Linked DNA regions of Drosophila melanogaster. Changing the gene in region 1 together with any one later gene gives a genetic interaction. Each region holds a gene or a part of one and is shown in the gene's direction. Other genes may lie near its edges. The genes, in order: sc, hry, E(spl)m7-HLH and Sxl.

Region 1 (5,453 bases):
TGCAGAAAAAAGCAACCCCTAACAAATGAGCGTGTGTTCATTTTATTTGTGCCCTGTGCTGCGCACGGTTATTTTTCAGCTGCACCAGAAAAAGAATGGTGGAAATCGATGTATAAAGTTGGTTGTCTAAGCCCGTATGCCCTGCTACGTTTGTTCTTCTATACTTTTCAGAGTTCTTTCCTCCGCGATCCAATTCGTTCGACTAAATACACCTGCCACGCGTCGCCATGGTCCAGATATCCAACGAGTCTTAAGGGCAAGGAGGGTGCGACTCCTGCGCATGCTCCTGCATTTAATTAAATTATTAACTACGAAAATGACTGAGCTAAATAAAGAGGGAGAGATACATCTACGCTTCATCAACAGTAAAACGCAAAAATTAAACCACGAGCGTCACTTAGATTTATATTAAAACTTTTGATAATAAAAATGGTCAAAAACATTTACTTAAAATATAAATATTTAAATAACAGAAATTTCACTATATACTCTTGTAATGCACTTATAATAATTTTATATACAACCTATTAAATAATATTTTTACGTGTAGAAATGAACGCGACAACAGAAATATCTATATGCAAGTATACATATACTTGTATCCCTCACTCTTTTTCACTTTTTCTTTTTTCGCCGATCTCCTGCTCTCTTCTGCAGGTCCTGGCTACGAAAACTCGTTTAAATTAAGATTCAACATTCATTTTTGCATTTCAAGTTTCGTTGGAAAAACGCACGCGTCGCTCCACCGATTAGGATATATATATATATATATATATATACCCATATATACCCATATAATGGGTAGGTTATATATCCTGCCTCGTTCCATCCTGCTCCTACCCAATTATCGCAAGGGCCCCGCTCTTCATCTCGCTTACACTTTTGAGTCCTTTCCATTTCCCGTTTTCGCGGTCCGGAACTATGCTTCATATCAAAGTAATTACGCATTTAAATCCTCCAAGCGTTGCGTCTGGAAAAAGGATATAAACAAGGTAGTCCGAAAAAAATGTTTACTGGTTGTCGGGACAACATCGAAAGGTTACTTAACTTGCTTTCTGATGGTTTTCCTGAAGAACAAGTCTTTCGAAATAATAAAAAAAACATTATTAAGTTTCCGAAAATATATAAAAGACTTCCACAAAGATAGAGTTAAATTAACAATATTATATACTAAAGGAAATGAAGCATTTATGAAATATAAAATTTAAATCATTCAAAATTAAAAGATTCCTACACTAGGTACTATAATTTTGAAGGTAATATCCAATGCTTGTTCAAGGTATGAGTGGCATTTACATGCAAGCGGTGACCGGAATTGGACCTATGATTAATCAATTGTACCGAACACGCGATTATACCAACCTTGCTTATGACTCTCCGCTTCAAGGAAAAAAGGATCGCGTATATGCATTATATGCATTCCACTTCAGTTAAATGTCCGCATACACCATAGATCACACAGTTCACTGAGTGGAGTTTCTAATGACGACTTCAACCCTATTCTAGGCATGTCACCGGCATTTCTCCCAACCATTTATTAAAATGCTTCAATGGAATTTTGGAAAATGCGAAAATTTAAATAGAACATTGTGCTGCCAAAATTTCTGCAACACTCAAGAACAATGATAGTGTTAATGATGGTAAAATAATGGAAACCAACTACCGATCCCTCCGTTACAATGCAAAAACTAAAGAGTGGAGACTCCAAGCGAAGTTCAGCATGCAAAAAAGGTATTGGAAATGGTGAAAGGATTTTATTTATAGGAACAACACAGAGAAGCGCCGTTTGCTGGTCATGGTTGAAAAGGTTTTTTTGTTATCAGGATTTCGGTTTTCGCTTTGGTTTTGGTTTCGGATTCGGTTTTTGATTTTGGGATCCGGGGATCTAAAATTTGCCAAATAGAAGTGAAGAAGTGCTATTGCTGATGATTTGGCAAAAGAAAAATGCTGGCAGAAGCAAACGAGGGTAACGAGTTGAGGACAATAAAAATATTACACCTGGTCGCCGATTTGGCATCTTTTCACTCGCTCATCGATTGATGATCGTGACAAAATGAACCGATTTTTGTGAACAGAGCGGAAGTTACAATTTACAGTCGCCGTTTAGCACGACACAGTGGCCAATGGCAAGTTACAACAGTCTGAAATAATCAATTTATTATTTCAAAGAAGATGTATGAAACTTCATGTATGTCTAGTATTTCTTTACCTTAGACCGCATTATGTAATAGAACAAATAACAAGTATACACCGTTAAAAGTCAAATGTGTGAACATTTAATCAAACCCAGAACTAAATTATTCCCAAACAAATTAATATATTTAAAGCAACATCCCAGTAGTTCTAGAAAAAACACAAGTAGCCACAAACAAAGAACCGCAGTTTTCACTGCAAACTTCCTTCTAGAACTTGTGTCACATCCCTTTGATTTACTTAACAAAAAATTGTGATCCTTTTGATAATTTAATTGGAGAAATAAGTGAAATTGTTTGAACACCTTTAGGGAGCGTACTCCGAATGTCTAATAAGGAGGATCCCAGGATCTTCTGTCGATCCCTTGGATCCGTCCGGCGCTAATGAATAGAAGCGTGCGTGAGCTGCACATAAAATTGGCGATCGCGACTTTTGCTAAGTTAATTAACACAGAAATCAAATTGCTGGCGTGCCGTAGCAAAAAGAGCCCTCACTCAGATACCTTGATCGTTTTTCGATATTTCGAGTTGATATTTTGAGTTTAAAATTTGAGTGTTTCTTTTGGACTGTCGAGTGAGAACAGTTTTCCTGTGGGATACTCGAGTACCTGAGACAGAGAAAGAGAGAGAGACTACCTGTGGCTCACTCACTTCGAGTTCCCTACCTGTGCAGGTAGCTCTTGCCGTCACTCTCTCTCTCTCTTTCTCTCCGATTCTCTCGCCCGTTTCTCTGCCTGAGTGTTGTGCAGAGAGTTGCATAAAGGGTACATAACGCGAGGGTTTAGGACGAAGGGACTCATTCTTGTGTAAGGTGTCAAACGATCAAGTTCAAGTATTGTACTCTGTTCATTTATTTTTTTCTGTTGATCGTTATCCGGAAAGTTAAAGAAAGCTCCGAGTGTGTTAATGAAAAATAATAATAATACAACGAAAAGCACTACCATGTCATCGAGTGTGCTGTCCACCAACGAAACGTTTCCAACGACCATCAATTCGGCAACGAAGATCTTTCGTTATCAGCACATAATGCCAGCCCCTAGTCCATTAATTCCCGGTGGCAATCAAAATCAACCCGCTGGCACAATGCCAATTAAGACTCGCAAGTATACACCAAGGGGTATGGCACTGACCAGATGCTCTGAATCAGTATCATCTCTATCGCCTGGTTCCTCGCCGGCTCCATATAATGTAGACCAATCCCAGTCGGTCCAAAGGCGCAATGCTAGAGAACGAAATCGTGTAAAGCAGGTGAACAACAGCTTCGCCAGGTTGCGGCAACATATACCACAATCCATAATCACGGATTTGACAAAGGGTGGTGGTCGAGGACCTCACAAAAAGATCTCCAAAGTAGACACACTGCGCATTGCCGTCGAGTACATCCGGAGGCTTCAGGATCTGGTGGATGACCTAAATGGGGGCAGCAATATTGGTGCCAACAATGCAGTCACCCAGCTTCAACTTTGTTTGGATGAGTCCAGCAGTCACAGTTCGAGCAGCAGTACTTGCAGTTCCTCAGGGCATAATACCTACTATCAAAACACGATCTCTGTCAGTCCTCTGCAACAACAGCAGCAGCTACAGAGGCAGCAGTTCAATCACCAACCGCTGACAGCGCTCTCATTAAATACCAACTTGGTGGGCACATCCGTACCAGGTGGAGATGCAGGATGCGTATCCACCAGCAAAAACCAGCAAACCTGCCACTCGCCAACATCATCATTCAACTCCAGCATGTCCTTTGATTCAGGCACCTACGAAGGAGTTCCCCAACAAATATCCACCCACCTGGATCGTCTGGATCATCTGGACAACGAATTACACACGCACTCCCAACTTCAGCTAAAATTTGAACCGTACGAACATTTTCAATTAGACGAGGAGGACTGCACCCCCGACGACGAGGAGATTTTGGACTACATCTCTCTATGGCAGGAGCAGTGACTTAATCCCCAAAATTTACCACCACGCCCTATTTTCTTCTAGTCAATGTTGAGTTGAACCAAGTGCCTCAAATTGTAAATAACACTAATACAAAAACAACATACCCCCAATTTTTTTTTCTTACTTTAAGCTATTTTTTTACATTGTTAAGAACCACGAGACCAGTTTCAAATTTATATATTTATGAAATAACTATAGCATGGAAACGAAAACATATTTTTTTGCTAATACAATTTTATGTTAATTAGTTTTTGGTGGAAAAATAAAATGAAAAAATTAAACGAAAAATCATATTTAAGTTCTTTTCTCAAAGGGGATCCATCTATTGATCAGGTTTGTAAAACATTCGGGTACTACTTGCATTGCCTTGCAGTGCCGATGGGACCATGTGCAGCCGTTATGTACAATTAAGGTTGCTTTGCATTGGTTTTACAAAATCACTCTTATATCCAAAAATCATTAATACGAATTACAGATAACGCAAAACATAGATCAGTATTTGGTTTTAGACCAGTAGTTTCCTATTTCTTCAGGTAGTTTCTAAGAATGTCAAATTATCGCAGGTAAGACGATGACACCTGTGACACGTGCCACGAGGTTACTAGTTTAAAAGGTTACTAGTTTTACAATTACGACTTTGAAATTCAGATCAGATATTGAACTTAAAAAAGGAAAAGTGTCGAAAAAGCAATTTACAATTTATTCAATATAAGAGGAGTTCGTATTTATGTATACATTACTACTTAAATATATAAAGTGAGGTAGTTTTAACCCGATCAACACTTTTAAGACTTTTTCTTTTGAATTTGCTCAGCTTAACTATAGTTCCTAGTATTCCCTATAATGTACGGCCTTACAAAAAAGTATTTTACCCACTTTTTACACTTCTGAAAAAGTTAAATGCAAACACCTTACCCCAAACAATAACTAAGTTCTTCACTCCCACGCACCGTTGAGATGTCAGTCCGTTGGAATAAACCTCTTCCACTGGCCAGACAATAAATCACGTTGCATTAGAAAAACAAACGCATGGGAGAATGCGACTATAGACTATATTTTGACACATTAAAGGGCATCACAGACAAAGGACCTCATTGTCCTTAGGATCGCTGGATGCTCCAAAGGAAGTGATAAGGGATAGGGGATCTTTTCTTTCAATGTCAACGCTGACACTTGACAACTCAATGCAATTGTTTCGAATCATGAAAATGGGTTCTGGAATACCATTATTTTCTTTTGCGAGACTCTGTAGGCAAGGCTTAACGTTCAGCTCCGGAAGAACTTTCACCTTTCCTAAAGAATCTAAAGAAAGGCAAC
Region 2 (7,541 bases), on another chromosome or scaffold:
CTGTTAAAAGAGCCCTACGATCAACAGTATACATAGTATAGTATATATAGTATAGTTTATGGATACTATATATAAATAATATCAACATAGTTAGTATCTAAGATAAGATTTTCTGTATATTTTAAACTTAATAGTCAAAACTATATGGTATTTTGAGTCTAGTGAATAACCATTTTGAATGATAATGGCACACAAATTGAATTCATTGATCTTATAAAATACAAGCAAATAATAATACCTATAATATTATACATATGCTATAATGTTATTATCAACGCCTTTACGATTATTAAATAGTTAACCAACATGGTCCAAAATGATTCGAAATACCTTCAAGGGGTTCTTTATCGTACCACCAACGTGTTTGTTTTGTTTTCAGTGATCAGGGCTCCCGGGGCTTATGGGGAATCTGGGGGATCTGGCGCTGTCTAATTTTAGACGCAATTAGCAATGCGCACATTTTTGTGTGCTTGCGCCTTTTCGACTATAAATTTTTGCCACAGTTTATTTTAGAAGCTGCATGTGATCGGGTCCGCCAACAACAACAATGGGGCGTCAAATTGGGCGTTCAACGCACAAACAACTGCGAGTGTATCTGTATCTGTGACTGTATCTTTAGCGTTGTATCCGTGAGATACATCCACACCTTTGGCTGTTTTTGGCCAGCTAGCATGATGTAAAACGCCGCCAACGTTTTCCGACCTCTCGTTTTTTTTTCTTTTTTGTTTATTTTCTTTTTTGCTTTTCGTTGCAATTAAATTGGCATGCACAAGTGCCGCCTCTGCCGCCGACAACGCCTCTGCCGACGCTGACCGCGGGCGGGCCGCCTTTTGATCGGCTGCCAAATTGTAATTGGAACGCGAAGGTGTTGTCGACGTCCGCCACTACCGTCTATATATATATGTATCCATATTGTTGGGGCATGTGTTCTCGGCATAACAACCTTCTCTGGCGACCACAAAACGCACAACACTTTAGACAACCGTCAAAAATGTCAGAAATTCCCCAAACTTTTTGAGTATTTTCACGAATCGATAGATATGCATATTTGTAAGACGTGATTGTTGATTAAGTTCAATTTCATTTAATTATTAAGCAGAAATTAAGTGTAGTAAAATCAAATTAACTTCTAAACGTTTTTTTACTCATCTTCATTAGAGTCAACTTTATTAGTTTCTATAAAAACACTGCCAGGTGGTTTCGCTATAAAAAAAATATTGTAAACACCCGTTTTTAGCCAACTTGAATGTTTAAAGCCTGACTGACTCATTCCAATGTAACTTTGTTGACGATTCGTGGTTTTGGTATAACTTCACTAATCAGTGGTCAGAGTCCAAGTCAGGCTTTAAAAATATTTCCCAAGAACAAACGTCAAAGATAACGTAATTTCCTTTTATAGATCGTGTAACCTAAATATGTGTCATCTACCTTTACTGAGCTCAGCCTGGTTAAACTAATTACATGGTTATTACCATTTCTTAAAACTTAACCCATATTTTGTAAATAATAGATGGCTTAAGCAGTTATTTAAAATATCACTTTCGGTTGTAACGAAATGTGTGTGACGCACTTTGGCTTTTTACTACCAAATAAACAATATAATTTAAGCTTCATTTTCACTGTAATATTCCCAGTTTTCACTGCAATGCCCCTCTTCTCATTCTGCTAATGAATGGTTAGTTTTCTGATGCCCGACTATTCCGCGTGTCGCGTAATTATAGTCAACCTTCGATAAATCATTACTCCAAAACAAAACAACAAATAATATATGAAAAACGTGAAAATCCAACGCTGCACGTAGAAGCCATCAAGCTGAATCTAAGCGTCCGGCGGAGCACGTGTGATCCACGCAGCCTTGTCCACAGCGATTTCCATTTCATTTAGCCCGTTGGCGGCTATCGATCAAAAGCCAAAAGGGCGACCTTCACTTAATTGAGGCGTACGGCATGCTGAATGAGTCGGTTGTACAGACTGGTCTGGAAAATGCTAGGGGGATAACTATAGCCACCACCCACTGCCCGATCGCCCAACCACCCAACCACCCAACCACCCACTTCCGCCTAGCGTGCGCACAACCTTGTGATCTTGTTTACTGTTTAGCGACCCCCGAGCCGCAGATACACAGTACACAGCACAAAAAACCGAACCTGTCGCACTGGGGTGGCGTCATATAGCCAGCTATTTTCACCTTCTATGGGACGTCGTCGCGTTGGCCGCATGAATCAGCAAACCACGAACGGCGAGCCACCAGAAACCACCGCAGAAGCAGCAACAACACCAACACCACCGCGACCATCACCAACAGCACAGCCAGAAACACAGCCTCTTGTGAATCCCTCAGTTAGCAGAGCCCAGCAGAGTCAAGCCAAACCGATCGCTGATCGACCGACCGACCGACGATCACCAATGGGGGTTTCGCAGTGTGATTTCCAAAAAGGAAGAAATGCCCATTCCCGCGAGCCACGGGGGCGTATGAGTAACGCGGTGTGTACTTTAGGTACCGCTCACAAGCGTGAGCACGCACACACACACACACACACTGAAGCGAGCAGGTAGCGCATAATGTATACCCCTAGGTAGCCGCAATGCCAGTGCAATTGTATTGGTGCGGTCGTGTGGCTCGCGCTCGCGTCTCGCAGCGGCGATTTAGCCTACGAACCTGTCGATCAATCGTCAGTCTTCCGCCGAGAGCCCAGCGATAAGGTAGTCCCGCTACGCTCCGCAACATCCAGACGCAGTAAAGCAAATACTTATATATATATATACATACATATATATAGCGCAACCATCCGAAAGCCGAACGATCGATCTTCTGCTTCGTGCCGAGTCGTTTCGGTCTTTTAATCGCACTGCAGCCAGAACCTGCTGCTCATTCGCCTGCCGTATTTCGTAGCGTGCGGTTCTATCGCTCCGCTTTGATAAACCGAATCGAAATCTAGAGAACCCCCCCAGACACAATACCATTTTACGTGCTTCTCTGCGACGCTGCGCGAAAGTGAAACCACCAAGTGAACTTGAAAAAAAAAAAAACTGACAACTTGAGTTATTCTAAAAAAAGCAAAAAAGCAGTGAACTTATATTGCAAAGAGCAGCAAATTCAGATTTGCTGCCAAGTGAAAACCAAACTGTGCCTCAAACTCAACAAACAATATCTGACCGAAATGGTTACCGGCGTAACAGCAGCCAACATGACCAACGTTCTGGGCACCGCCGTTGTGCCGGCCCAGCTCAAGGAGACGCCGCTCAAAAGTGACCGTCGGGTAAGTTTCTTTCGAGAAAAATAAGACTCGAAAAAAAAAATCCAAAGCCAAAAACAAAAAACCCCGTCAATGGATTAAATCAGAACCTCTAGTTCCCCGAAATCTGTGGATTAACTGAAGCGAACCAAACCGAGAATTCCCCTAATTGAGAGCCACCCACTTCGAGCTCAAGTTGATTTCCATTCGCGACTGTGGGCGACTGGCCCCATCAATCCCGCTGCCCAAATGCATTTCCTTTTTAGCCATCTCCCACATGGCTGGCTGGGAATAAAAATACGAAAAAAGAAAAACACTCTGAGCCAGACCAAAAAAAGGCCGCAACTGCCGTCGGCGCGCCAACACAAAGCGAATTTATCTCGCGTCGCGTTGGTGGCATTTACTATATGGCATATGGCATACTACTCCGACTACACACACGCTCCATCCATTCATGAGTGCCGCCCAAAATTGGCTGGCGTAGCTGCCCACCAGCTCCCCAGATTCGGACTCGGATTCGGATTTGGCTGCCACTTGGCGCGTGCGTCGCGTGGTGGCTGCAATTGTCGGTCATCAGCCGCCGTTTTTGGCCATTCGAACGGCACCGGTTCAATGAGTTGGCCAGAAAAAAAAAAACTGACTTCATGCGAGTCCAAATTTGGCAACTTGTGCTCCCTAGATAATAATGTACCTAGTTATGGCATCTTCGAATTTCCCGCTCTGACCTTGTCACATTCTCTTTATTTTTGCTCATACCTGGTTGGTTTATTTATAGCCACTGCCTGTAATTTATAACCGCCAAACTATTTTTAAATAAATGCCTCGGCCGAGTGGCGCTATAAATAGAGCACGCGCCGTGCGACTAAATTTGGCCGCCAGCCAGTCAATCCGCTCCCCAACCTACGCCGCCTCCTCCTTGATCTCCTCCAATCCAATTGAAGACCCATGCAGCTTCCTCTATTTTTGGGTCGTTGCATGAGGTCAAATTAGCCGTGCAAAAGCCGTGACTAATCGATGTTTTTTTTTTCCATTTCTTGCCTCTTGCAGTCGAACAAGCCCATCATGGAGAAACGCCGACGTGCCCGTATTAACAACTGTCTCAATGAACTCAAGACTCTGATTCTGGATGCCACCAAAAAAGACGTAAGTATCTGACAAAAATATAAGTTTAAAGCCACAAATAAAATAAAAAAAACTACATATTTGAAATTATCTCAAATATTTTTTAAAAGTTTAAATCATTGACTAATTTCCAAATTATTTTCTCTCTCTACTTTTAGCCGGCTCGCCACTCCAAATTGGAAAAGGCCGACATTCTGGAGAAGACAGTAAAGCATCTGCAGGAGCTGCAGCGCCAGCAGGCAGCCATGCAGCAGGCCGCCGATCCCAAGATTGTGAACAAATTCAAGGCCGGATTCGCCGACTGTGTGAACGAGGTTAGCCGCTTTCCCGGCATCGAGCCCGCCCAGCGTCGTCGCCTGCTACAGCACCTGAGCAACTGCATCAATGGCGTTAAGACAGAGCTGCACCAGCAGCAGCGCCAGCAGCAACAGCAGTCCATCCACGCCCAGATGCTGCCCTCGCCGCCCAGCTCGCCGGAGCAGGATAGCCAGCAGGGAGCAGCGGCACCCTACCTCTTTGGTATCCAGCAGACGGCCAGCGGTTACTTTCTGCCCAATGGCATGCAGGTGATCCCCACCAAGCTGCCCAACGGTAGCATTGCCCTCGTGTTGCCCCAGAGCCTGCCCCAGCAGCAGCAGCAACAGTTGCTGCAGCACCAACAGCAGCAGCAGCAACTCGCCGTCGCAGCAGCAGCAGCGGCCGCAGCAGCAGCACAACAGCAACCCATGTTGGTCAGCATGCCCCAGCGTACAGCCAGCACCGGATCCGCCAGCTCGCACTCCTCCGCCGGATACGAGTCGGCGCCCGGAAGCAGCAGCAGCTGTAGCTACGCCCCGCCCAGTCCGGCCAACTCTAGCTACGAGCCCATGGACATCAAGCCATCGGTCATCCAGCGCGTGCCAATGGAGCAGCAGCCCCTGTCGCTGGTGATCAAGAAGCAGATCAAGGAGGAGGAGCAGCCCTGGCGGCCCTGGTAGAGGGTGTCTGCATATGCATATCATATAGCATAGCCACCCCTATCGAATCTCCCGCTTTTAAGACTGACCCCCCACAACTCATCCAACTCGCACACATGCGCAGGCGTTGTGCGCATGCGCGTAGACATTTCACATCATTCGCCGGGATTGCGCAAATGTTGCTTTGAAGTGTTGCAAACATGCGAATCCTAAACTCGGTTCACAACTTCGTTGGCTTAGTTTCCTGGCTTATATCCTGGAAACCCGTCGACGAGGCTAAGGACCTTCATCAGACGCACCCACACACAAACACACACACGCAAACGTTGTTATAATTTATTTATTATTATATTATGTAATCGATTTGAGAGAACGGTATTCTACCAGGACATCGCCAAACTACCTCAGTCCAAGTACTTGGTGTTGAATTGCCTCATGTATCATGTATTACTCTTTGAATAACAGCAAATCAGCAAAAGTCTTCCAAACACAGAAAATGAAAATGCGAAAATAAGCACCTGAAAAGCTGAAATACTTTTTATGAAAAAGATAAACGCAAAAGCATAACTCTTACACATAGTCGTACATCTCCATTTAAGTATAGGTTTTGTACCATAGCCAGCTAAGCCGCTTAGGGTTTCTCTCGCTCTTAAGTCTAATCAAAGAATAATTATATTTATAAAACACACAAATCTATTCGTAAGGCCACGTGATATAGTGAACATAATGAGCTTCTAAGAAAACAAAACAAGAATTTGATGCAAGCAAAAGCAAAAAAATCAACAAGAAAGAAAAAACAAACAAACAACACACTAAAAAGAAATAAATTTAAAAGATTCTACTAAAAAATCAAATACGCAAAACGGATTTGTTATTGTGGTTGGGGTATCTTTTCCTGGGTTTTTTTTTCATTCGGGTGAAAGTCCCATTATGGTTCTTTTTTTTGTTTTAGAGGTCAAACGCTTTGAGTGACAGGAAACTTATCGAGCCCCCCGACTTATCGTAGCAAATTTCGACGCTAATTATTATAATGCCAATGGTGAAATTCATTTTGCTGGAGAGGATCGGCGGGGATTTCGACGATAATACAACTACGTTTTAAGGGGCTCGATTATGTCCGTTTCTGCTAATATAATCGGCACGACGAGTTGAAGGTTTTTCTGTGGCCAGACCGTAACGGATATAGATATATGTGCATCATAAACATTATATAGGAATGCCTTGATTTTCACACATCCGTTCGATAGGCCAGTAATTCGAAACAGTTGTGACGAAATAAATACTTATTATAATCCTTTGATCGATAATATTTTAAAATATTTTGCAATTTAATCATTGGTTATTCCAATCGAAGTGATCAGCAAAAGTTAAGGCGCACAAGGGTATATTTTAAAATCAAGGCAGGTTAGCTCTGATTGCAATAAATCCGAAATTCCATTAGCTAACGATTCAGCAAAATACCGAATTTCTTAGGGATATGGAATGTCAAGAAGTTGGCCACTATAGCCGCAGGAAAGTCGATCCGGTTCGCGTTAGTTGGAACTAAATCGGATATCGCCATGGATCATGGATGACCGATAGCTACGGATACATTTGGAAATTCCCTGGAACTAACCACTCGAATCCAGTGATATATACAAGTTTATCAACCATTAGGGAAATCTCTTACCCAGTAGCAACCGAGTCACGCCCTTCAATTCTCATAGTGCCCCCACTCTAATCTAAGCAAATCCCTGGGCCATTAATCGTCATGCTCGTGACAAAAGTTTCCGCGAAGTCTGCGGAAAAAATACCGCATCATGCTGATAATATGAGTGCGATAAAGCGGATAAGTGAATAAAATTGTTTTCCATTTGCTGGTGAATCAAGTGCAGAGAGCCACATTCACTTGCTCATCACGGCGTGCCTGCCACTCCCTTGCTGCAGTGCGTCTGTATCTGGGCCTAGTCTCGTTCGCCGTATGACTGGATCAGTATTCACTCGCTAACTATTCACAAAACTAACTCGTGCAGCCTCAAAGTCCAGGGGAAAATTCTCGTAAAAGCTAAGTAAAGATTGCACACAGTCGTTCAGATGTCGCATGTTCTGGAATCTAAGCAATACACTGGAAATACGCTTCGAGAAAAGTCCGATTGGGTGGTTTGGTGGTTGGGTGGTTGCATGACCAGGCTTTTGCCCCACTGAACCGAAAGTGCACTTGATTAGTCACTATGGGGGACGACCGACT
Region 3 (5,006 bases), on another chromosome or scaffold:
CTTTTGTTTTTAGCTGCCCGCGTCTGTCGCGCGTTTGGCGTGCCAAGCATGCGCACACATATTCAATTACACGGCCAGCAACGTCGGTTGCCCAGCAGCAGCAGCGATTATAGCGATGCATTGACAATAAGCCAACCCCGATGCGTGCCCAAATGGTTGCCCCTACTTAATAAAAAGTGGAAAAAACAACAACAAAAGCCCGGAGCTGGCCATGTGCAGCTCGAGAAATTTTCTCACAGTCGCCAGAAAAATTGTAACGGCCCGTTGTTCAGCACACTCTCAGCACGCAGTGCACTGCACACACACACTTCCTGCCGCAGCCAGCGTTCCTCAAACCGGCCACGTATATTGTTTATATAGTTAACGAATGCGATACATTTAATCTTTAGTGTGTGTCAATTTGCCGTACAGTCATTTAGTTTGCATGTCCCTCGTCGATCCATCGAACAATCATCCCTTTTTCTGGGACCTGGGTCCCACGATGATGATGTCCCGACGTGAGCAGGAATACCATACGCGTATATGTATGCCACTTAGCGATGGACGATCCCAACCGATGCCATCCGAAACGAAACCCAGGGCCCAAGTGTTCAACAGAAGCTACAATTCAGCATTCATAATTGACAAGAGCAGGAGCGAGGGAGAGGGCGATATGTGTAGGGCCCACGATGGACAAGAAAAAATTAAATAAAATAAAGGGCAGGTGGTAGTTTTTTCAGCACTACCCGTGACTCGCACTAGCAGCTCGGTCAGATTTACAGTGGTTCGAATGGAACGAAAATTGGTTGAAAACAATTTAGGGTCTTGTCACAATCTTTAGATGCTTTTAGCTACAAACTACAAAATGGTTTCTTTTTTTAGAAATTTTTTAAACATCATAACCTGACAAGAACATCTTTTCCAAATATTTCTTTATTTCACCCATCTGGGTACAGTAATCCCATACATAGATATTCTGTAAACTGCAACCTTCACGAACCTTAATGTTTTTCAAGACTCAGGTTCCCACTCACCGTCGCAGCTAACAAAATTATCCGTAGCAAGTAGAAAACACCTTTCACAAAAGTCCCTATACTCGGACTATATATGCCTAGAAAAACCTCTAGGAACAAATGTACCTTTCCAACATAGCAGATAGTTTAGTAAAAATTCTTTACAAGTAGAAACACATCGAGAAATCCATAAACACTTACTCTAAAACCTGCAAGTCGTAAAATTGCACGCATGTTCCGTTTGGTAAAACCCCAAAAATCACATTCGAAAACTCACATTCCCACGACTTTGAATAGAGGTTCTCAAATTAACCGTAGCAAGTTGAGAACAGGCAACAAAAAATCCGTAAGATACTGATTTCCAAACCTGCGAGTCCCAAAATTGCACACATCTTCGCCTTGGAAAACCCCATTTCCGACATCCCAAAACTCGCATTCCCACGATCCCTACAGAAATTGCTAAAACTTTGTCTAGCAAGTAGATAACAGTATGCGTAAATTCCGTAAACCTTAAATTTCACGTAGTTGGAAAAGCCTTGAAGAATTCATTCAAGCAAGGCACCCTCAAAATTCCCGCATGTGTTTCATCGGTTTGGCCCACTGTGCCATGTGCATAAGGGCTCGGAACTCGGAGCTCGGACTCGGGACTCGCACACGGGCTACCTCCGATTATAACTTATAACACCAACGAGCGAGAAAAATCTTGTGGGAAACTTGAGGGCAAAGTGTTTCCCACGATTCGAATGTCAGTGGAAAGGAAAACAGAGAAGCAGCATGTGCAACCACCGTCGCACCACCACCACTGCACTATCGCATCTTCATCCCCTGCCGAGACTCACTTACACCGAACACCAGTGGCCATAGCAATAGTACTGAGAACATATTTAAAGTTCTAGATAATGTTTATATTTTCAAAATCACTACTATTAAGAAGTGTGCTAATTTAATTTTTTAGGTGTAAACGTATAACATTATGTTAATTTCTTTTTGTTTAATAAAACGACATTTAAGTGCTTTAAGGGAAACCCATTTGAAGTAATTGTTAAAAACGTAACGTACTTCTTAGGTATATAACAACAAATTTGTATATTCGCTCGAAGAACTATAGCTGCTTTAAACACATTTCTCATACTATTTTTACCGCAGGTGTGTTCCAAACTTGTTTGTGGAGAAAAACCCACCACCGAAAATGCAGGCGAGAGGATCGTGTCCCAGTGACTGAGTAAAAGTAGTTTGCTCCGCAGGTGGTGGTTCTTCGGAGGCTCCGCAGCTCTCTCTTCTCTCTTTCTCCGAGCAGCGTGCGCTGAGCACGAGACGCTCTCGCGGCGGCACGTGCAGCTATAAAAGCAGCGGTAACCGGAGACGAATGCAACATTTCGAACGCAATCGTCGTGCAGTCAACATCTCAGGATAACCTCCTCCGAAAGATCGAAGAAGTTCTTCAACAAGTCGTTCTTCCATTTACCTAAACGCAACAAATAAACAAAACAAACACACAATGGCCACCAAATACGAGATGTCGAAAACCTATCAGTACCGCAAGGTGATGAAGCCCTTGCTGGAGCGGAAGCGTCGTGCCAGGATCAACAAGTGCCTGGACGAGCTCAAGGATCTGATGGCCGAGTGCGTTGCTCAGACTGGCGATGCCAAATTCGAGAAGGCCGACATCCTGGAAGTCACCGTGCAGCATCTCCGCAAGCTGAAAGAGTCTAAGAAGCATGTTCCGGCCAATCCCGAACAGAGTTTCCGTGCTGGATACATCCGGGCAGCCAACGAAGTGTCCCGCGCCCTGGCCTCCCTTCCCCGAGTGGATGTGGCTTTTGGAACCACACTGATGACCCATCTGGGCATGCGTCTCAACCAACTGGAGCAGCCCATGGAACAACCGCAAGCCGTCAACACTCCACTCAGTATCGTCTGTGGATCCAGCTCTAGCTCCAGCACCTACTCCAGTGCCAGCTCCTGCTCCTCCATCAGTCCCGTTTCCAGTGGATATGCCAGCGACAACGAGTCTCTGCTCCAGATCAGCAGCCCCGGACAGGTGTGGCGTCCCTGGTAAACAAAGATCTACTTGGAAGGACTGAATTCCCGACGGGCAATCACGCAATTGGAACCGCAGCTTTAGAAAAAATGCTTTACAATGATCCTCATTTATTTGTTACGTTACCAAGTTTTAGGTTTCTAAGTTAAGTCTGTGATAGGGCACGCTTTATTAACTTTTGTCTTAAATCAATCGAGCAGAAGTCTGTTTTTTACTCTACATATATACAAATGTTTACCAGCTAAGAGATCTCAAGAACACAATATGAAAAGATACAAAATGAAAAACTTAAATACAAATCAAAATATGAAATGAAATTATACAAGAATCTTATTATTTGGGGAATCTATTTTACAGCACAATCCAATAGGGGATATTGAACTTCAGTATTTGTCTTTAAATTCCAATAGGAAGAAGATTCCATTGAAAATATTTAATGTTGGTATGCGCGAACTTTAAGGTCCAATATAATAAAACGATCGTGTGCACTAGCTTATTTAGGACACGTGTAAAAAAATGGACTTCCCATAAATTATGTTCATTATCTTAAAGCCCATCATTATCCTAAACGAGCTATATTAATAACAAGTTTCAATAACAGTTAAACATAATAGCAAAACATGCTCCACTAATGTGCACTTAGTTGTCAAGCATGCATTTAATAATAAAAAGGAATTTAATTTCATATTTTTAATGGTCGTTATTTTTCATTTGCACGATGTGTTTACTTATATTCTATTTCAGTAACTATTTTGTCAACAGACTATGAAATGAAAGTATTTGACATCCTTTAGCACAATACAATACATTGTTATAAACCTTAAATGCGGCATTATAATTTTTCCACCAATAAAAGGTCAATAAGAATGGTCAAGAAACATACAAATGAGTTTCAGCACGCGTCTCGATTACTTATCACACATTATACCCTATTATATTTAATCCCTTAAAATTTATTCTTTTACAATTAATCAATTAAATTACATCACATATTGAGGGTTGCAATAGCATTACGTAAAATCATAGGTAAGTGTATTCAATTCCAAATTCATACCACATTATTAACCTCTGACACCCAAAATACTATAAGAAGTGAGAGTATCCCTCCCCATTACAATAATCAATGACGTTGTTTTCCACCCATAAAATGTCAATATTAAGAACCCTCAAGATTTGTAAGGGAGATATACAAATCCATCTCAATTATTAAGTGAGGAAGTAGCATACCCTAGGCGGTTGCAAGGGAGGGACACAAATCCCATAGGTAGGCATCGATGTCAGAGGTCGATTAGTTTCCTAATAGAAACAGAGTTTATAAAAGTTAACTCGAAAGTGAAATTTACTCAATGGAATTCTAATACACCATACTTGCATGCGAAACCCAAGATTCCGAAACCAAAAGCACTTAATATTAGCTAATTAAAAATGGGTTTAGAAAGATACGCCAGACATTATAAGTTCCTATTAACTAAATTCAAAGAAAACTTTTGTATCCTATGATTACTTTAACAATCTTATTAGGATGAGCCACACATTGAACAAACCACATTTACCATAAGACAAGATATTTGAAAAGTGCACATCAATTAACCGGTGAAAAATTACTAATTACCAATTAGGGGGTTGCAGGAAGTTAACTATGTGCATCCCATAGGTAGACATTCCGGCACAAGGCCCACCTCACCTCAGCCTGGGCATTGAGTACTCAACCTCGGCCACGAGTGTGGCACGCGGGGCACACTTTCTGCGCCCGTTTGACCCACGTCCCCCTGCCAACCACCCAAAAACCCGAGATCAGACAGCCCAAACGATGGAACGATCGAACAACCAAGGCGACCCGGCACGAAGCCAATATGCCACATCCACTAATTGTGTCCAATAAACACTCGTCGACGGGGCACTGTGGGAACGGAAAGAGGAGATCTCAGAGTTCGCAGTTCGGAGGTCGGAGCAGGAGTAGGGGCTTATACAAT
Region 4 (6,388 bases), 6.7 Mb from region 1:
TGGAGACCTCAGTCTGATGCAGGATCTGCAGCATAAGTACGCCTTCCTCGAGAATCTCTTCAGCAAGTTCTGGAAGTCTATCATCAAGTCGAATTCCAATCTCAAACTGCAGTTGCGCAATGTCAAGTGGAAGAATGCCAAGGCGAAGCCCGGCTGTGCCTACCAGCCAACGGAGGTGAGTTCTATACATTGTATGTGTACAGTACACCTGACGCCTAAACCACATTTACTCTATCCAAAAAAAAACAGATCGAGCAGGTGGCCAATGTGATTACTCACGGCATTTGGATACTGCCCGCCGTTTTTGCGGCCATCAAGCTGTTTGAACGCTCCTCCAGCGCCAGCCAGTATCTGGTTGCTTGGGTCTACGGCGGAGCCCTGTGCATGCTCTTCACGGTGTCCACCTTCTTCCACTGCTCCTGCTATTGCGCCGAGCACAAGTGAGTGCGCACACAGGCTGATTTAACCATTTGATTTGTACATTTTTGTATACCTCCACTAGACCACCGAAGAATGTCAAGGCCTGGCCCTGTCTCGGCTGGCAGACGTATCAGGGGCTCAAGAACGTGCTCCATCGCTGCGACAGGGCGATGATCTATGTGTTCATCGCCGGATCGTACTTCCCCTGGCTCACGCTAGAGAACACCGATCATTCGGCCATACTCTTCTGCATGGAATGGGTCATCTGGCTGATGGCGGGCATAGGAATTGCCTACCAGCAGGTGGGTTCATTTACAGCACCCGTGTTCACATGCTCCTTAAGGTGAAATTTCCTTTTGTTTGGCGAAAACAGGTCTTCCACGAGCGCTACAAGTGTCTGGAGACGTTCTTCTATCTGGTGATGGGCCTGGGACCCGCTCTAGTCGTTGTGTTCACTGGCCACCACTTCCACGGTATGATGCAGCTCAAGTTCGGCGGCGGCTTCTACATTCTGGGCATTGTATTCTTCAAGGCGGACGGCACGATACCCATGGCCCATGCCATTTGGCATCTGTTTGTGGTGCTGGCCGCCGGATGTCACTATTACGCCATCCTGGTGAATCTATATCCAAGCGAGGGAGCCGCAGCACCGTGAACAAACGAGCGCCACAAAGCAGTTGTGGTAACATGCAGCGAATTTAGAACTTAGAGTACTTAACGACAGGGATTCGATGTTGTCAGCCATGTGTAACGTATTCCTATGATATACCCGATGTACCCGAGTCTCTGCTCCACAATTAGCCAAATTTTAAGCGAGCGAGGACGCCTAGCTTGTAGTCTAGTTGTAGCATTACGAACTAACTAAATCGAAACGATTCTTGTGATCAGTATGTGCGGTCTTGCCAAAGATTCAAATTGTGCGAGTGCTCATCTCTCCCTCTCCCTCTCAACTTTAACTTGATATTATTAGCGATATTCATATATTTAGTATCCATAACGACCCGTTTTGGCCATGTGTTTCTCAAAAGACTTTGAACCGTACTCAAAAGGCAAAGGACACGAATATTAAACTTGTACAAATATCCGAGAGTTAACGACCTGAACCTTTTGAACACTAGAAGCCCGCCTATCCCGCATTGCATTATGCATGTTTATACAGATTATACAGATATATTATATACCCATATATACCCATATACACAAGTAGATAGAATTAAGAGGCCATCCGATCCGCGAGTCCAGCCCCTTCGGCCAGTTTCATCGCCGAGCTCAGGGACAAATCGATGTGTTCGCAGATACTGAAGAAGGTGACTATTTACAAATACGCTTGATATCTTGATATTTTCGGGGCCTGGCTCGCGATCGGCGGATATAGCTTTCGTGTACTACTCGTATTTATGGTGCAGATCGATTAGTTTTAATGGCTCTAATAAATTGTATATTTCCAAATGAAAGCAAAGGGCTCAGATGTTTGTTGCGTGCTCAAATATAATTGTTCGTTTTACAATGTTATGCATGTATCTTGTTTAGCTTATTCATACATCTTGTTTAGCTTTAAATATATGAATATACATATATTCTTTTTTTGGTTGCAAATATATATATATTATTTTATTGAAAATTTTTTTTTGTTTGTGTAGAATTCTAAATATTTAAATGAACGAAATCTAACGGGGCTCAAAAGACATAAAATTGTATCTAATTTTAATTCGTTATTTTCTTTTCTTTAAATGAAAATTTCAAGCTTGATTTGAATTCCCATATTTGAATTTTATGTGACCGTTACGAATCAAGCGAAGGTGTGAAACTTGGCTAAATGGGTTCGTGTATTCGCTAAATGGAGTGAGTCTTAACTAACGCGGTGTAGAAAATGAACAGTGTGACCAGCCGAGTGCCTAGAAAAATAACGAAAACGCGTTTAGCCACCGTAAAGCCACCCAAATAGCTTAAATTGACCGACAACCGCGAAACGTGCACACTGCTTTGTTGTTGCCGAAGAAGGAAAGTCGCGCAGTGAATTTTTTTCTGGTAATTTTTCTTTGCTCCTCCTGACACTCGCCACGTAAATCAAACACACGATCCAAGTGAATAAGTTAAAACGTTTTAAAAATCATGACAAAGAAGCTGTTTTGTGTGCCCCATGCAATCCGTGTAGCTACAGAATAAGTGTGTGAGAAGAAATAAATCCCCATCGAAAAAACAATACACACACAGACACTGCAGCATGTACATATATATGCATATAGATATATATATATACATACATGCACAGGGTTTCTAGCGTGACGTGAAGTGTATATAACGAAGCGAAATTAAAAGAACACGCAAAAAGAGAAAAGTGGAGAGGAAACGATAGTGGAAAACACGCAGACATTGTGAAAATGCGCATAGATCATATCGCAATTGTAGTAGTACAATTACAAAAAAACCAAGCATTTTTGGAGTTTTTCTTTTCTTTTTTCAAGTTATACATGTTATTTTTTTTGCTGTTGGCCTCAAATACATACATATGTACATCTGAATAGAGCGAGTAAAGAGCAGTATACAGATACTCGCTGTTTTTTGTTTCTTATTTTTTGCTGTATACGGTTTTTTGTGAAGTTATTGAGCTGAAAGAAGAGTGCAAAAGCGATTGACGAGCCGAAAACATGTTGTAAAATTCCATTCAGCATTTCCCACCACTACCAACAACAGCAAAGCAAAAGCAAAGCCGTTTTTGCTCGCTCTCCCACTCCTTCTCTCTCTCTCTCCCGTCCACTCGTTGTTACTTCATGTACTAATTTTTTTTTCTGTGCTTGCGGCTTCGTCATTCGCATGTATATACATATGTGTGTGTTGCGCCTACGTGAGAGAGCGTGCGAGTGTGTATATGCCCGCAAACGCATAAACACACGCGCACACACTTGCAAGGCGATTCACGCGCCTGGCTTACACTTTGTTTTTTCTTTTTTTTTTCGTTTCCGTTACAGTTGTGTAGTACATAGCAACATGCAAGCATCGCCCAAAAATCATATGCACATACACATAAACAGTAAGTTGTACATAAAAACAGCAGCGTGTGTGTGAGTGCTTAATTCTTTTTTTCCATTTTAGTCTCTAACTAAATAATAATAACTAAGCCGCTGGGTAAGTGGTTTTGTTCGTATACAAACAGCTTTTTGGGGCAAAGAAACAACAAGAGAAACCCAAGGGCAGTAAGAACATATAACGAAAGGTAGGCGAAAAAGACAACAACACACATGCATACAGTCGCGTCCAGTTGTGAAGGGCCGAAAATTCTGGAATAGATTTCGCTTTACCTGAGTGTTTATCGCGTGTCCCTTTTTCACTTCCTTTAGTTCCGCTGCAAATCGACTACCTACATTTACGCATATCCTGTATACATATTACTTCCTGTTTCACCAACTATGCCACCATGTGTTTCTTGCTGCGCATAAATTGGAGTATTTTGTGATTGCTTTTAATAAGTAGATATGTACCTATTTTTTGGTGGTCGACTGTGGCGACCGCCCTACGTCGACGGCATTGCCAGCTGTTATCATCGAAGGCAACGTGTTTTGGCGTACACTTCACTTACACATGTGTCCCTGGTTAAGATATGACATATTTTGGAGTTTCCCAGAGCTTCTGCAATTAAAATAATTGTAATTTCTTCGTTGAGTGTTTATATAGCTTTAGTTGGCGAAACATTATTTTAAAGATCCTCATTAGCGACACGCGCCTTTCGGTTTATGGCCCTCCCTTTTCCATTGAAGATCAGGGATCCTGGATATTTCCAGGCAGGTAGTGAGCGCAAGGGAAGATGTTCGCTTCGCCCTCCGTTGTTGTCTCTATCGTACGCTCAGCTGCCGTATTTTTTGTTTTTCAAGTTGCAGCTGGCTGGTGGGAGAGGAGTGGAGTGGTGAGGAGAGGGCAGCTGCATTTATTTCCTTTTCTCTTCATCTCCGCTTCTCGGTGGGTCATTCCCCTTCTTGCTGTTGGCAATGACGTCGCATCGCAACGATCGTTCCCTTCGCTTAAAGCGTATTGGAAATATTGGAAATGGCGGTAGCTAGTACTACCCCCACCTCCACCAACACTCTTAATTCACATTTCTGCATTCCATTGAGGTCATTCCCTTGCGCAAATTGCACGTTACACAATTCCCATGAGCGTTGCACCCCGTTTTAAACCTTATTTGGTCTTCAGTTAATAAAAGCTTCCCAACAGTGGTCTCTAGATAATGCAACTACTTAGCGTCGTTATTTAAGAGTATATTTTGTAGCGTTGAATGTTCTTATTTCGATGTTTTTATGGCAGATAATACTGAGTTAAATGAAGTTGAATACGTCCTTGAAAGTATATATGTTTCGGTTCCGCAATGTCAAGTGTTCACTGTACTTTTTAAGCTCGCTCAATGTTTTAAAAAGCATACATGCATACATATGTACATACATGCGCATTTGGATACACTTGAAATAACAACAGTATAATAACAATCCAAGCGGACGATCAGCTGGAATGTTCGATGGATCGTTGATTGTGTCTGGCAATGCCGCTGTGATTTTGTTTCCAGACCGAGATCCATTCATGCATGCGGGTACATGACTCATTTTCCCAGCTGAGCGATTGTTAGATGCACAGATGTGTACATGCATCTTCTATATGTATATATGTATACATTAGCTCATGTACTTAAATGGGCTTTTATCAGCTGTTTAGAACACACATTCACTCAAGCACTGCATAATAGTGCTGCTCTATTTACACAACTGTGCTCCAAATTAGCAGACTACTGTTATCAAACTGTAAAGTTTTTCTCGCATTTTGTTATTGCTTTACAATTCGCTGGCGCTTTCTCCATCTCTTTCCCTCGTACACTGCCGAAAAATGTCTGCTAAATGGTGTCAATGAAATCAATGAAAGCCTGCATTGTTTTTTTTTTATTATTGTTATGTAATATTTTTTTCTGTTGTGTATCATTGCAATATTATTTGCTGCTTTGAATTATTAAACAGCTAAAAAAGTCATATATATTAACATTTTATCGTAATATTTAGAAATAATTTTGAACTATTTGTTTTCAATTTTTTAATATGATACATTGGATATATTATTACCACGCATTGTGATATGCATTTTCCCCAAAAGTTTTGTCCGTGATGGACTTTCTTTTATTTTGGTTTTTGATTTCATGGTGATTTAGCTTTCACCCATCTGCATATGGAAAGTCTATGGGTCTTTGGTACTCTATTACTTATGTTTGAATTTTCTTTCATTTCTGGGCTCTCCCATTTTCGGAATGACCGACCTTCTGGTTACCCTTTTGTATTTTCCCCCCACCTTTTTGCTTTTTCCGTATTCACAGCTTGTGACGCTTTTCGTTTCTCTATTTCCGCATTTTCCGTTTTCACGCTGGAAAGCGAGGTACACACTCTGTTTTATATATTTCTGTACATATTTTCATTTTCCTTCCCCTGGGCTTCTTTCTTTTTTTTCGGCATTTGCTGTATATTGTGTACATGGGAAAAGAGCAGCCCTCGAATTTGATGACCGTACCACCCCATTCCAGCCGGCTTTTATTCTGGTTTTTGTGTTTCTGAGCGACCCAATGCGATTTAGGCCGCCCCACCCACTTGGCCGCCGCCCCCCTTTGCGCCTTCGTTTGGCTGCCCTCGTTTTCTCTGGCTCCTCTTCTTCCCCCTTCTCCGCTGCTCGCATCTCTTTTCGCAGCTTCGTATTTTCCATTTTGATTGTTCTCTGTTTGCCAAAAGTTTTGGTTCCTCATTCGCTTCCTTGGAAGGAAGCCCAGCTCTTGCTCTTATTTTTGGCTGGGGGATCCCAAAGTGTAGGACAAATACTCATGTATCGAGTATCCAATGGATTTGCTTCCTGCTTGTGGAAAAATAATGGCTAGGGCTTAGGGCTCACTGGAAATGGTACTTGATAAGATTGGAAGTTAATTCATAAACATTCTTCCTACAAGAAT

What was found.
Region 2: of sc (region 1) and hry, changing one suppresses a phenotype caused by changing the other (phenotypic suppression), as found in Drosophila melanogaster (2 studies listed by BioGRID).
Region 3: of sc (region 1) and E(spl)m7-HLH, changing one suppresses a phenotype caused by changing the other (phenotypic suppression), as found in Drosophila melanogaster (one study listed by BioGRID).
Region 4: of sc (region 1) and Sxl, changing one suppresses a phenotype caused by changing the other (phenotypic suppression), as found in Drosophila melanogaster (2 studies listed by BioGRID).

The regions. Positions count from the first base shown.
Region 1 is NC_004354.4:393,079-398,531, forward strand, and holds sc (scute), read left to right. Parts: upstream 1-2,981; 5' UTR 2,982-3,098; coding exon 3,099-4,136; 3' UTR 4,137-4,419; downstream 4,420-5,453. UniProt on the Drosophila melanogaster protein: AS-C proteins are involved in the determination of the neuronal precursors in the peripheral nervous system and the central nervous system. Also involved in sex determination and dosage compensation.
Region 2 is NT_037436.4:8,673,089-8,680,629, forward strand, and holds hry (hairy), read left to right. Parts: upstream 1-2,670; 5' UTR 2,671-3,161; coding exon 3,162-3,260; intron 3,261-4,283; coding exon 4,284-4,379; intron 4,380-4,516; coding exon 4,517-5,335; 3' UTR 5,336-6,165; downstream 6,166-7,541. UniProt on the Drosophila melanogaster protein: Pair-rule protein that regulates embryonic segmentation and adult bristle patterning. Transcriptional repressor of genes that require a bHLH protein for their transcription (e.g. ftz).
Region 3 is NT_033777.3:26,034,673-26,039,678, forward strand, and holds E(spl)m7-HLH (enhancer of split m7, helix-loop-helix), read left to right. Parts: upstream 1-2,365; 5' UTR 2,366-2,490; coding exon 2,491-3,051; 3' UTR 3,052-3,347; downstream 3,348-5,006. UniProt on the Drosophila melanogaster protein: Participates in the control of cell fate choice by uncommitted neuroectodermal cells in the embryo. Transcriptional repressor. Binds DNA on N-box motifs: 5'-CACNAG-3'.
Region 4 is NC_004354.4:7,094,061-7,100,448, reverse strand, and holds the start of Sxl (Sex lethal), read left to right. Parts: upstream 1-2,395; 5' UTR 2,396-2,448; exon of another isoform or gene 2,449-2,504; intron 2,505-2,680; exon of another isoform or gene 2,681-2,825; intron 2,826-3,382; exon of another isoform or gene 3,383-3,451; intron 3,452-3,513; exon of another isoform or gene 3,514-3,634; intron 3,635-5,964; exon of another isoform or gene 5,965-6,388. Other genes in the region: CG4615 (uncharacterized protein), read left to right, coding at 1-175, 250-440, 503-722, 794-1,075. UniProt on the Drosophila melanogaster protein: Sex determination switch protein, which controls sexual development and dosage compensation in females. Sxl protein is only active in females: it is inactive in males throughout development.